Linked DNA regions of Saccharomyces cerevisiae S288C. The gene in region 2 interacts genetically with the main gene of each other region. Each region holds a gene or a part of one and is shown on either strand. Other genes may lie near its edges.

Evidence for each region.
Region 1: mutations in PIH1 (region 2) and RSA3 together harm fitness more than expected from each alone (negative genetic interaction), as found in Saccharomyces cerevisiae (3 studies listed by BioGRID, with this or other methods).
Region 3: mutations in PIH1 (region 2) and SRP40 together harm fitness more than expected from each alone (negative genetic interaction), as found in Saccharomyces cerevisiae (4 studies listed by BioGRID, with this or other methods).

The regions. Positions count from the first base shown.
Region 1 is NC_001144.5:577,862-580,811, reverse strand, and holds RSA3 (Rsa3p), read left to right. Parts: upstream 1-1,787; coding exon 1,788-2,450; downstream 2,451-2,950. Other genes in the region: U3 snoRNA-associated protein UTP13, read left to right, coding at 1-1,494. UniProt on the Saccharomyces cerevisiae protein: Required for efficient biogenesis of the 60S ribosomal subunit.
Region 2 is NC_001140.6:175,092-180,511, forward strand, and holds PIH1 (Pih1p), read right to left. Parts: upstream 2,909-5,420; coding exon 1,874-2,908; downstream 1-1,873. Other genes in the region: YHR033W (putative glutamate 5-kinase), read left to right, coding at 457-1,728; GTPase-activating protein NEL1, read left to right, coding at 3,128-5,020; BRL1 (Brl1p), read left to right, coding at 5,254-5,420. UniProt on the Saccharomyces cerevisiae protein: Involved in pre-rRNA processing and required for the NOP58-snoRNA interaction.
Region 3 is NC_001143.9:612,165-615,474, reverse strand, and holds SRP40 (Srp40p), read left to right. Parts: upstream 1-1,589; coding exon 1,590-2,810; downstream 2,811-3,310. Other genes in the region: DNA-binding protein SRL3, read right to left, coding at 3,210-3,310. UniProt on the Saccharomyces cerevisiae protein: Not known; weak suppressor of a mutant of the subunit AC40 of DNA dependent RNA polymerase I and III.

The sequences.
Region 1 (2,950 bases), on a different chromosome or scaffold from region 2:
AAGAATGATGAAGACACAATACAGGTCACTTCGAGCATTGCTGGTAATCATGGTATTATTGCTGACATGAGGTATGTTGGCCCAGAGCTGAATAAATTAGCTTTAGCTACCAATTCTCCATCGCTTAGGATAATACCCGTCCCCGATTTATCAGGCCCAGAAGCTTCGCTGCCTTTGGATGTCGAAATTTATGAAGGTCATGAAGATTTGCTAAATTCATTGGATGCTACTGAGGATGGCCTGTGGATCGCAACCGCCTCTAAAGATAATACGGCTATTGTTTGGAGATACAATGAGAACAGCTGCAAGTTTGATATTTATGCCAAGTATATTGGTCATTCAGCTGCCGTAACTGCTGTTGGATTGCCAAATATAGTTTCAAAGGGATATCCTGAATTTTTATTGACAGCATCGAATGATTTAACAATTAAGAAATGGATAATTCCAAAGCCAACTGCTAGTATGGATGTTCAAATCATCAAGGTATCCGAATATACTCGTCATGCCCATGAAAAGGATATCAATGCTTTGTCAGTTTCTCCTAACGATTCTATTTTTGCAACAGCATCATACGACAAGACCTGTAAGATCTGGAACCTAGAAAATGGTGAATTGGAAGCCACGTTGGCCAACCACAAGCGTGGACTATGGGATGTATCATTTTGCCAATATGATAAATTATTGGCAACTTCTTCAGGTGATAAAACAGTCAAGATATGGTCATTGGATACATTCAGCGTTATGAAAACATTGGAAGGTCATACCAATGCGGTTCAAAGATGTTCGTTTATTAATAAGCAAAAACAACTGATCAGTTGTGGTGCTGATGGCTTGATCAAAATATGGGATTGTTCTAGCGGTGAATGTCTGAAGACTTTGGATGGTCATAATAATAGATTATGGGCTTTAAGTACTATGAATGATGGTGATATGATCGTAAGTGCTGATGCAGATGGTGTTTTTCAGTTTTGGAAAGATTGTACGGAACAAGAAATAGAAGAAGAACAAGAAAAAGCTAAATTACAAGTCGAACAAGAACAATCGCTTCAAAATTATATGAGCAAAGGTGATTGGACAAATGCATTTTTGTTAGCAATGACTTTAGATCACCCAATGAGGTTGTTTAATGTTTTGAAAAGAGCTTTGGGCGAATCAAGGTCTAGACAAGATACCGAAGAGGGCAAAATTGAAGTCATTTTCAATGAAGAATTGGACCAAGCCATCTCTATCCTAAATGATGAACAGTTAATTTTGTTAATGAAACGATGCAGAGATTGGAATACAAATGCAAAAACACATACCATAGCGCAAAGAACAATAAGATGTATTTTGATGCATCATAACATAGCAAAATTGAGTGAGATACCCGGAATGGTAAAGATAGTTGATGCAATAATTCCATACACGCAAAGGCATTTCACAAGGGTTGATAACTTAGTTGAACAAAGTTACATATTAGACTACGCGCTAGTGGAAATGGATAAGCTATTCTAGGCAGTAAGTCCAAGATATTGAGCCTTTAAAAGCAAGGCAATAGCAACATATTATTTTGTAAACTAGATATATAAAGACAAAATGCATTGATGAAGCGGAAAGCTTAAAATAATTCGATATATAATTAGGTGCCTTTACGGGCATTGAAAACTTCTTTGCGCGAAGAGCTCATCACTAAAAATTTGCAAAAAACGAAGAGCGAAAACTTTCATATATTGTAGTAATATATACAAGAATTTAAACTGCCCACTTGAAATAGCACGGAAAGAACTAGCCATAATATATTATACAGGATGTCGGCAGGTGATATATCAGCCATAAATATCAAGTCTGTCAAAAAAAACAGAAGGAGGAAGAAGAGAAGAACAGCTGATGTTTCATCATCAGATTCTTCATCATCGGATCCATCATCAGAAAGTGAAAAGGAGGAAATCCAAAATGGGGCCATCGAAGAACACGTTGGAGAAAATGGTAAAAGTGATCATGTTTTCTCAAAAGGTAATGACGAAGACAAACAAGAGGACATTGCAATAGAAGTTTCGGATGTCGAGCTTACAGACGAAGAAAGCAAGGATTTGAAGTTAAATTCAAAAGAAGTGATAGACGATTTAACCAAAATTTCTTTGAGCAAGATCCCAGAGCCTACGAAATCTCAAAACAAGGAGGGTTTTATGAATGCATCGAAAATTGCCGAAAATATCAAGCTTGCGAGAGAAGAATACAATGAATTGGCAGAAAACTTTGTGCCCAAAGGGAAAGACAAGACAAAGTTAAGGGAAGAATACTTAAATTTACTTTTTGAAAACTACGGTGATGATATCAATCGTCTTAGAGCTGCCCCGGATTTCACGAATAAATCACTATCCATTTTGGCAGATGCTCTGCAGGAAGGCATAGGAATGTTTGATATTGGTGAACTAGAATTGGTCTTGAAAAATAAAGAAATGGAGAACTGAAAAATATTGCTTTAAATCTTTTTCTAAAAGTTTGTCATGTTTCCGCGGAGAATATATTGACGTGCACATTAATTATTTAGATAATTCTTCGATTTTTAATGAAGAGCGGTCCTGATCCAAGTTGTGCTTCATATGGTATAAAGCTGATTCCAGTATACTGCACGAGAAGTATATGTATGTATTTTGTAATTTATATAAAGGCAAAAAAAAGAAAAACACTTGGGCATAATGGAGGAGAAGATCTTATGACCTGATAGTCAAAGAGAAAAAGAAAAAAGCAGAAGGAGCAAAGAAAGGCGGCGACCAAATGACGAATTAGATCCAATGAAAAACGATTCAATGCGAATAAAGGTTATCATGGATCACCTGATGGGCCTCTTGGCAATAGAAAAAGAAACTAGTTTGAAATTCATTAATATAAATAAATTTAAAGAGGAGAATATAGAAACAAATTAAAACGTAAAAGAAATGTATGTCGAGAAAATCCAGCCCAGTTCCAA
Region 2 (5,420 bases):
CGTTGGTAATGATGAGTGTGTGTCAAGGATACGCCGTTTTTCATGGTGATAGACGCCGTATTCTCGGAGCGGCACGCAAGCGCAATGCTGAGACCCATACATCATGAAACTCCTTCAGGGTCGAATGACGTATAGGGGAGATGCACACCCCCACCCCCGCATCACACCCAGTCTTCTAGCCAATTATGTTGGTAATTTTAAGGGTTTCGCCATGTGGCATGCCACCGGCAAAATAATACACGTGCCCGTACGGCACCAAACGGGCATGCATTTTTGCATTTGAAAAAGTTTGCTGCCCTTCATGTGCTTTTATGTATGCATACACATACACATTCGTGCATACATTCATTTATATATATATAGAGTGTGCATCGTGCATATGATTATTCATTACCACTTTTTTTGTTTTTGATTTTGTTCGTCAAAAGGAAGAGAAAAGGCATATCGAAGGGTGTAATGACAAAAGCTTATACTATCGTTATCAAGCTGGGCAGTTCGTCGCTCGTCGACGAGAGCACAAAAGAGCCAAAGTTGTCCATCATGACGTTAATCGTCGAGACCGTGACGAATCTTAAGCGCATGGGCCACAAAGTGATCATCGTATCCAGCGGCGGCATTGCCGTTGGTTTGGACGCTCTCAACATTCCGCACAAGCCTAAGCAGTTGTCTGAAGTGCAAGCGATTGCCGCTGTCGGACAAGGCCGTCTCATCGCGCGCTGGAACATGCTGTTTTCCCAGTATGGCGAGCAAACAGCGCAGATCCTGCTCACGCGTAACGATATACTGCGTTGGAACCAGTACAATAACGCACGCAATACAATCAACGAACTGCTGGCCATGGGTGTCATCCCTATAGTCAACGAAAACGATACGCTATCCATTAGCGAGATCGAGTTCGGCGATAACGACACGCTTTCTGCCATTACCGCTGCTCTTGTAGGGGCGGATTTCCTGTTCTTGCTCACAGATGTGGACTGCCTATATACAGACAATCCGCGCACTAATCCGGATGCTCGTCCTATTGTTCTCGTGCCAGAGCTATCAGAGGGCCTTCCGGGCGTCAACACTTCCAGTGGTTCAGGCTCCGAGGTTGGCACGGGCGGAATGCGCACCAAACTCATAGCCGCCGACCTCGCCTCTAATGCCGGTATCGAGACTATTGTGATGAAGAGCGACCGTCCAGAGTACGTCCCGAAGATCGTTGACTACATTCAGCATCACTTCCGCCCTCCGCGCCATATCGGAAACGGCACACAGCAGCAGTTTCTCGATCTTCAGGATACGGAGCTCGAACAGTTGCGTCGCTACGATGTTCCCATGCACACCAAGTTCTTAGCTAATGACAACAAACACAAGCTTAAGAACAGGGAATTTTGGATTCTGCACGGGCTCATTACCAAGGGCGCCATTATCATCGACGAGAACAGCTATGATAAACTTTTGTCAAAGGATATGGCTAGTCTGACTCCAAACGCCGTGATCGAAGTCCGAGACAACTTCCACGAACTTGAATGCGTTGATCTCAAAATAGGCCAGCGGTTACCCAATGGCGAATTGGATATCTCGAAGCCGATTCAGTCTGTTGGATGCGTCCGCTCCAATTATACGAGTCTGGAGCTTGCGAAGATCAAGGGCTTACCCAGTGAGAAGATTCACGATGTTTTGGGCTACAGTGTGAGTGAATACGTAGCACATAGAGAAAACATCGCTTTCCCTCCGCAATTTTGAGAATATTCCCTTTTTTTTACCGGATTAAAAAAAAAAAAAAAAATTCTGTTATAGATGCACATCATATCTCTCTCCTTTTTCCCGCTTTTATATATTCGTTCGTATTAGTCACAACAAAAACCAAAAGAATACTCGAAATGTTAGTTTATATATATATATATAGTGTGCGTTCTTTGCGGATATGGAAAATCTTGATATCTGCTGCATTCACGACTATGTCGCGCGGCAAAGGTATGCTCAGCTTACCGTTAATGTATAAAATATTCTCTGCGAAGTTGTAGCTCGGAGAGAACCGGTCCGGCTTCGAGTTCGGAGCTTTGTTCTCAATAAGAATTCGCAGCTTGTAGGCGGCCCCTTTGAACCTCTTCATCTTTACCTCGTATTCCGGCACGTCCTCCTGCTGCTCGTGCGGTGCAGGTGCAGGTGCAGGTGCCTGTTTCAGGTTTCTGTGAGCAATCTCGTTCTTATCAATCTCCTCTATCTTGGCTCCGGAGATTTTGTTCTCGATAGGGAACAATGGTGGTAGTGTTCCATCGTCGGGATCATTATTATCATCGCCATCGTCATTCCTTCCTCTCAATATACTCATCGGGTCTCCGGCCTCCTCTTCTATGATTTTATGCATTTTTGCCTTGTAATCTTGATGTAACTCATCATTCAATACCTCTAGTGCAGGAAGCTCAGCGCCCTTCTTCTTCATCTTGGGGAATGCAATGCGATCTCTGCACAATACCACCGAATCTCGGATCTCACATGACTCCAAGCACCATTCGACCAGTATCTCTCGCAGTTGGATATCATCGCATATCCAGCGCGAGCAATCGCTATTTATGCAGCAATCCCACACATAGCACTCCTGCCCCTTCTTGTCATGGTCCATGCGGTAGCAGGATGTAATAATAGGAATCTCCCATTCGTTTTGGATGATGAGCGGGAACACTATCCTTGCATTAAAATCGACCTCAGGTTTGGGCACTAACGGAGAGTGACAAACATTGATGAACACCTTCCTGCCATCTTGCAGTTTTTCCGGCCCATTAGCGGATAATAGTTTTGTCTTAATTACAAAATCTGCGATGGGCTCAATTTTAGACACCGATCCGTCTGCAGCGTCCACCGACACGTACTTGTCCTCGTTTCTATGACGTTGCTTAATTGGTCTCAATAAGAAATCGGCCATCGGTTAAGGTCTGTTTGTTCGCTTTGAAAAGTCTGTTCCCTGTATTCCTTTTTCTTCCATGCATATGAATTCAAGAATTCCTAGTTTTTTTCTATCATTATTGTCTTCTGATTTTTTTTAAGGAAAAAAAATATCAAGAGTAAAAATAGTGATCAGGTACTGAATCCTGTATTTGTACAATACTGCAATCTAGCACCAAATTTGGCCAAGGAAGTGCCTATGTGTTCTCCAACTAATTTCTTATATGAGCCCTTTTCCAGCGATGCTGTGACGCAGAACTATGACCAAAATCTAAAATGCACCAAATGTGGCGCCTATTATTCGATGGCTTGTTCCCTACGAGAACAGAATGTTTGGACTTGTCTATTCTGCAACCAATCAAACTCAAATGCTGAATTGCCACTGGTACCTTCCAACACCTATACATTGACTTCTGCAAAGAAAGAAATACTTTCAAGACGGACCATTATGATTATAGACGCTATTTGCGATCCTCATGAGCTAAATTATTTAGTTTCCATTCTATGTAATAATTACATCACAAGACAACAAGAGCCACTATCAATAATTACTATTCAGCAATCAGGTCATGTGATTTTACACAATGCTGTGAATCACAGACGTGATGCTGTATTTTCAATAAATGAATTTATGACCAAATATAATCTTGATAAATTAAATGCCAGTTACTTCGAGAAAAAAATTTCAGAAATCAATCAAGAATCATACTGGTTTGATAAATCTACTCAGGGTTCTTTAAGAAAATTGCTACGGGAAATATGCAAGATTGCAAACAAAGTGAATATCAGTTCTAAAAGGGACAAGCGTTGCACCGGATTAGCGCTGTTCGTTTCATCCGTACTGGCGTCTCAGTGCAGTTTGTCAGCCTACTGTCATATAGTTTCATTCCTGAATGGTCCATGTACTAAGGGTGGCGGCAAAGTTATGTCAAGAGAACGTGGTGAAAGCATGAGACAAAACCACCATTTTGAATCCAAAAGTTCACAATTGCAACTATCAAAAAGTCCGACAAAATTTTACAAGAAAATGCTTGAAAAATTTGCAAACCAATCGTTAATCTATGAATTCTTTATAGCTTCATTGGATCAAATCGGTATACTCGAAATGAGTCCATTAATAACTTCGTCAATGGCAGTTTCTCAGTTTGATTCATTCAATGATGAGAGATTCGCAATGTCTTTTCAAAAGTACCTGAACTTGCGTGACCATAATGCCATTTACAATTGTCATTCAAAGATAATGACCGCAAAGAACGCTATTGTCGTTAAGGACTTCCCAAAATATAGCTTAAACCCTAAAAACCTTTCTCTACCATTAGAAATCTCACTAGGTCACAATTCAGCTGAAGCTCCTATACAGTTTCAAACCACTTTTGAAAATCAAACGGAAAAATACATAAGAATTGAAACCCTCTTATTGCCAAAAGCCAATAGATCATTTGGGGCACAAAATGAAATTGTGTTTTCAATGAAAAAGATAGCCTCACGAATTATCGATAGCTTTGCTTACTCATCCAAGCACACTAAAGAATTGATGAAGCAATTGTTTCTATTACCAAATCAAATCCGGGGAAAAGACGTAGATATGGTCAATCTGATACAGTGGTGTTATCATATATATAGGTCTCCAATTCTATCGGTTCGGAATACTTCACCTGATGAAAGGTACCTTTTTCTTCACCGAATAATAAACGCTTCTAAAGACACATGCCTTTCATTATGCAAACCCTTCATCTGGAGTTACAGTGATTTGAAACACGACTGGATCGTGTTGGATGTCCCATTAACAAGAGCCCAGATACTTCAAGATGATAAAACCACCATTTGTGTAGATGGTGGCTCGTACTTAGTTTTAAGAAGGGGAAAACTTTTGGAAAAAGAAGGTCGCGAGCTCTGTTGCAAGCTTTTAAATGACTTGCAAAGGTTTCCGCAGCCATTATATGTTGAAACTAAAACCGGTGGCAGTCAGGACCGTTTCTTGAAAAGCAAAATTATTCCCTTGGACATCACTGACAAGGAAACTCTTGGTACAGAGGATATGACATTCAATGAATATTTCAACTTGTTCACCGATCTAAGTGGAAGCAAATAACTCGCTAAATATTCTTGCTGCACTTTGCGACGCCTGTATTGGCGAAAACAAAAAGTAAAGAAAAAAAAACTTTAGATGAAATAGAGCAAAATTCCCTAAGACAATAGAAGATACAAAAGCAAGTTGGGCCCTTAATTTCATCAAAGGTATAGCATCTCATCAAATAGTCGCTTGTTTATCGCAATACTTGCTTATTGAGTAGTTGTATTATAACGTTATATAGGATCTTCCATATGGAAAGTTTTGAAAATTTGAGCATAAGAGACAGTTTCACTAGCGGAATGGAACACGTTGACGAGGAGTTAGGAGGCCTCTCCGACCTAAGTATATCTAAGCAGGGGCCAACTTTGTCACCACAGCTTATCAACCGATTTATGCCCCATTTTCCCTCGAGCCCATC
Region 3 (3,310 bases), on a different chromosome or scaffold from region 2:
GATATGAGTTGTGGTGATTGGAGAGAGTAAAAGAAAGGATGATAGATGCAAGAAGTAAGGCCAATCAAAGAGCAAGTCACTCTACACAGCTATCATATGAGGGGAGTGATCGCCGTACAGATAAGAAACCCAACTTTTTTCAAGACGCCACCGCTTGTGTAATCGCCATTATATCGAGGAAAGCCCTGCGAACGTGAAGTGAAAAGGACGGTTGTCCTTTTTCCTGTTCTTCGAGGATCCTGAACAGGATGTCAGTAGGGCGGGCCTTTTCTTTTTATTGTGCAGGTACGCATGTTTCTTTGACACAAAATAGTCTGGATTCGCCAGCCAGTGGCACTTTTGATGCCATTTCCACCACAGAAAACGTCTGAGTATTCAGCCATGGGAGGGGAGTGTTGAAAGGGGAGAAGCAGCCCACTTCTCTGTCTTGACACAAACCGCAGATTGCGTCACGGTTCTGCGGACGCCGTTAGCCCATTGGTGTCAAGTTATTGCGGGATTTTTTGGTGCCGTACGCCGGAGCCGACGGAGGTAAGTCAGTTCGCCGCTGCCTTCGGCGCCGTTATCTTATCTCGCCAGAAAACTCTTAGCTTTTCCGGGAAAAAAAATGAACAATACTGATTGCGTTACCCCAAGCTTATCCCACGTAGTTTTGTGTCTCTTTCTTGGGCTCTTGGCGGCCGTACGCATATAGTATACTAATGCGGTAACGGCTACCTCCTACGTCTGTATCAAAAAAGTTCGCTCTGGTCCTATCAATATTTTCTCCCACACGAGGATTCTGTGGTTTTGCAGCCACATCTACAGGATGTTGACTTTTTGTTTGTTTACGTAGTTTGTTTCAACGCTTTCGAAGATGTGGCGCTGGTGCAAGTCATCTAAGTTGGTTACTGATAACAAATTGTGACAAGGATGTAGTGGATGCGTAGGAGACCAAAATGACATCTGACACAAAAAAAAGTAGATAACGAAAACAGGACAAAGGTGTCATTTTGTTTTGCCAAGGAGAATTATAATCTTAGTGTGAAGATACTTTCATTAGACACATAAATTTACGTTCGACACACTTTTTTCTTACTCCTCCCCTTATCAAGGATACCTGGTTGATTCTACGTCGTCCTCTTCACTTTGGTTAATTCACCTTTGCCCTTCACCTTGTGGTGTGCGGGTGTTGCAGTCATTAATGTTCTTTATCGCGAGAGGGGGTCTACATAATCTTGTTTTTTCACTCCAATAAGGCAGTTATAGTGAATTTGTTTTATTACAGAAGGTGTACCCTTCGTTCGAGTTATTTTACTCTTGTTTTGTAGTTTGTACATCTCTTTATGTCTGGATCAAAACGATAATTCGAAGCTTATTGCAATTTAGTTCTCTTACCCATTTCTTTACAACGGGCCGAGAAAAAGTGGAGTTGGTCCGAGGAAGCTTTGAACGGGAAGAGGAAAAAACCTTCCCATCGCTCGAGCATACAATTTTTTTTTTTTCAATGCAGGCTGAAAAAAAAAAATTCACTTGATGATTGAACTCATCGCACTTTTATACAAAGCAAGAAAGAAACCCAAGTCGCAGTACACTAAGAATACATAGCAATGGCTTCCAAGAAAATTAAAGTTGACGAAGTGCCAAAATTAAGTGTTAAGGAGAAGGAGATTGAAGAGAAATCTTCTTCTTCTTCTTCCTCCTCCTCCTCCTCCTCCTCCTCCTCTTCTTCTTCATCTTCCTCGTCCAGTTCTAGCGGCGAATCTTCAAGCAGCAGCAGCAGCAGCAGCAGCAGCAGCAGCAGTGACAGCAGTGACAGCAGTGACTCTGAATCTAGCTCATCATCATCTTCTTCTTCTAGCTCAAGCTCAAGTTCCAGTGACTCTGAATCTTCTAGTGAATCCGACTCTAGCTCCAGTGGATCTTCTTCTTCCTCTAGCTCTAGTTCTGACGAATCTTCTTCGGAATCCGAATCAGAAGATGAAACCAAGAAAAGAGCAAGAGAATCAGACAACGAAGATGCTAAGGAGACTAAAAAGGCTAAAACTGAACCAGAAAGCTCTTCCTCATCGGAGTCAAGCTCTAGCGGGTCATCGTCATCTTCAGAATCAGAATCAGGTTCGGAATCTGATTCTGACTCAAGTTCTAGCTCAAGTAGTTCTTCTGATTCCGAATCAGATTCTGAATCAGATTCTCAATCAAGTTCTAGCTCCAGCTCTAGCGACTCTTCGTCTGACTCCGACTCCAGCTCCAGCGACTCTTCATCTGACTCCGACTCTAGCTCCAGCTCTAGCAGCTCTTCCTCGGATTCAGATTCGGATTCCGACTCAAGCTCGGACTCAGACTCTTCAGGCTCGTCCGATTCTTCAAGCTCGTCTGATTCAAGTTCCGACGAATCTACATCTTCTGATTCCTCCGATTCGGATTCCGACTCAGACTCTGGTTCTAGCTCTGAATTGGAAACAAAAGAAGCAACTGCAGACGAATCCAAGGCCGAAGAAACGCCTGCCTCATCTAACGAATCAACTCCATCTGCTTCCAGTTCATCAAGCGCCAATAAATTGAACATTCCTGCTGGAACCGACGAGATCAAAGAGGGCCAAAGAAAGCATTTTTCCAGAGTAGATAGATCGAAGATTAATTTCGAAGCTTGGGAGTTGACAGACAACACCTACAAAGGCGCGGCTGGAACATGGGGTGAAAAGGCAAATGAAAAATTAGGTAGAGTAAGAGGTAAAGATTTCACGAAGAACAAAAATAAAATGAAGAGAGGTTCTTACAGAGGTGGATCCATTACATTAGAAAGTGGTTCATACAAATTCCAAGATTAAAAGAATAGGAAACATAAAACAAAACTCGTTGTCTGGAGTAATCTCCTTTTAAGTTGTAGAGTAAACAAATTGTAATTATAGCAACGATAGAAAAATAATAGTAATAAAGACAATAATAATAGTAACAAAAATGGTAACAGTAATATTTTGTATTGTTTTCCTTTGAAAAAAGAAAAAATAAATAACCTGGTATATAGGTAATCGCGTCACTAAATAATTAAGCATTCAATAAAAGTTTTTTTTAATTATTTTTTTTTTTATGTTTTTGGCTCCTAGAGGTGAATATTTTCTTTTTCTTTCTTCGCAGCTATATACTAAATATTAGTGATATAAACAGCAAGAACTATAAACCTAAAAGTAGCCAAAGCCATGTATATATGCGAAACCCGAATCATTAGTTCAGTCCGATGAGGACATCTTCAATAATGTATCGATAGCAACAACTTCTTGTAAAGAATTCTCCTGTGTACTTTGCGTTCTTCTATGAGATGACCAACGTA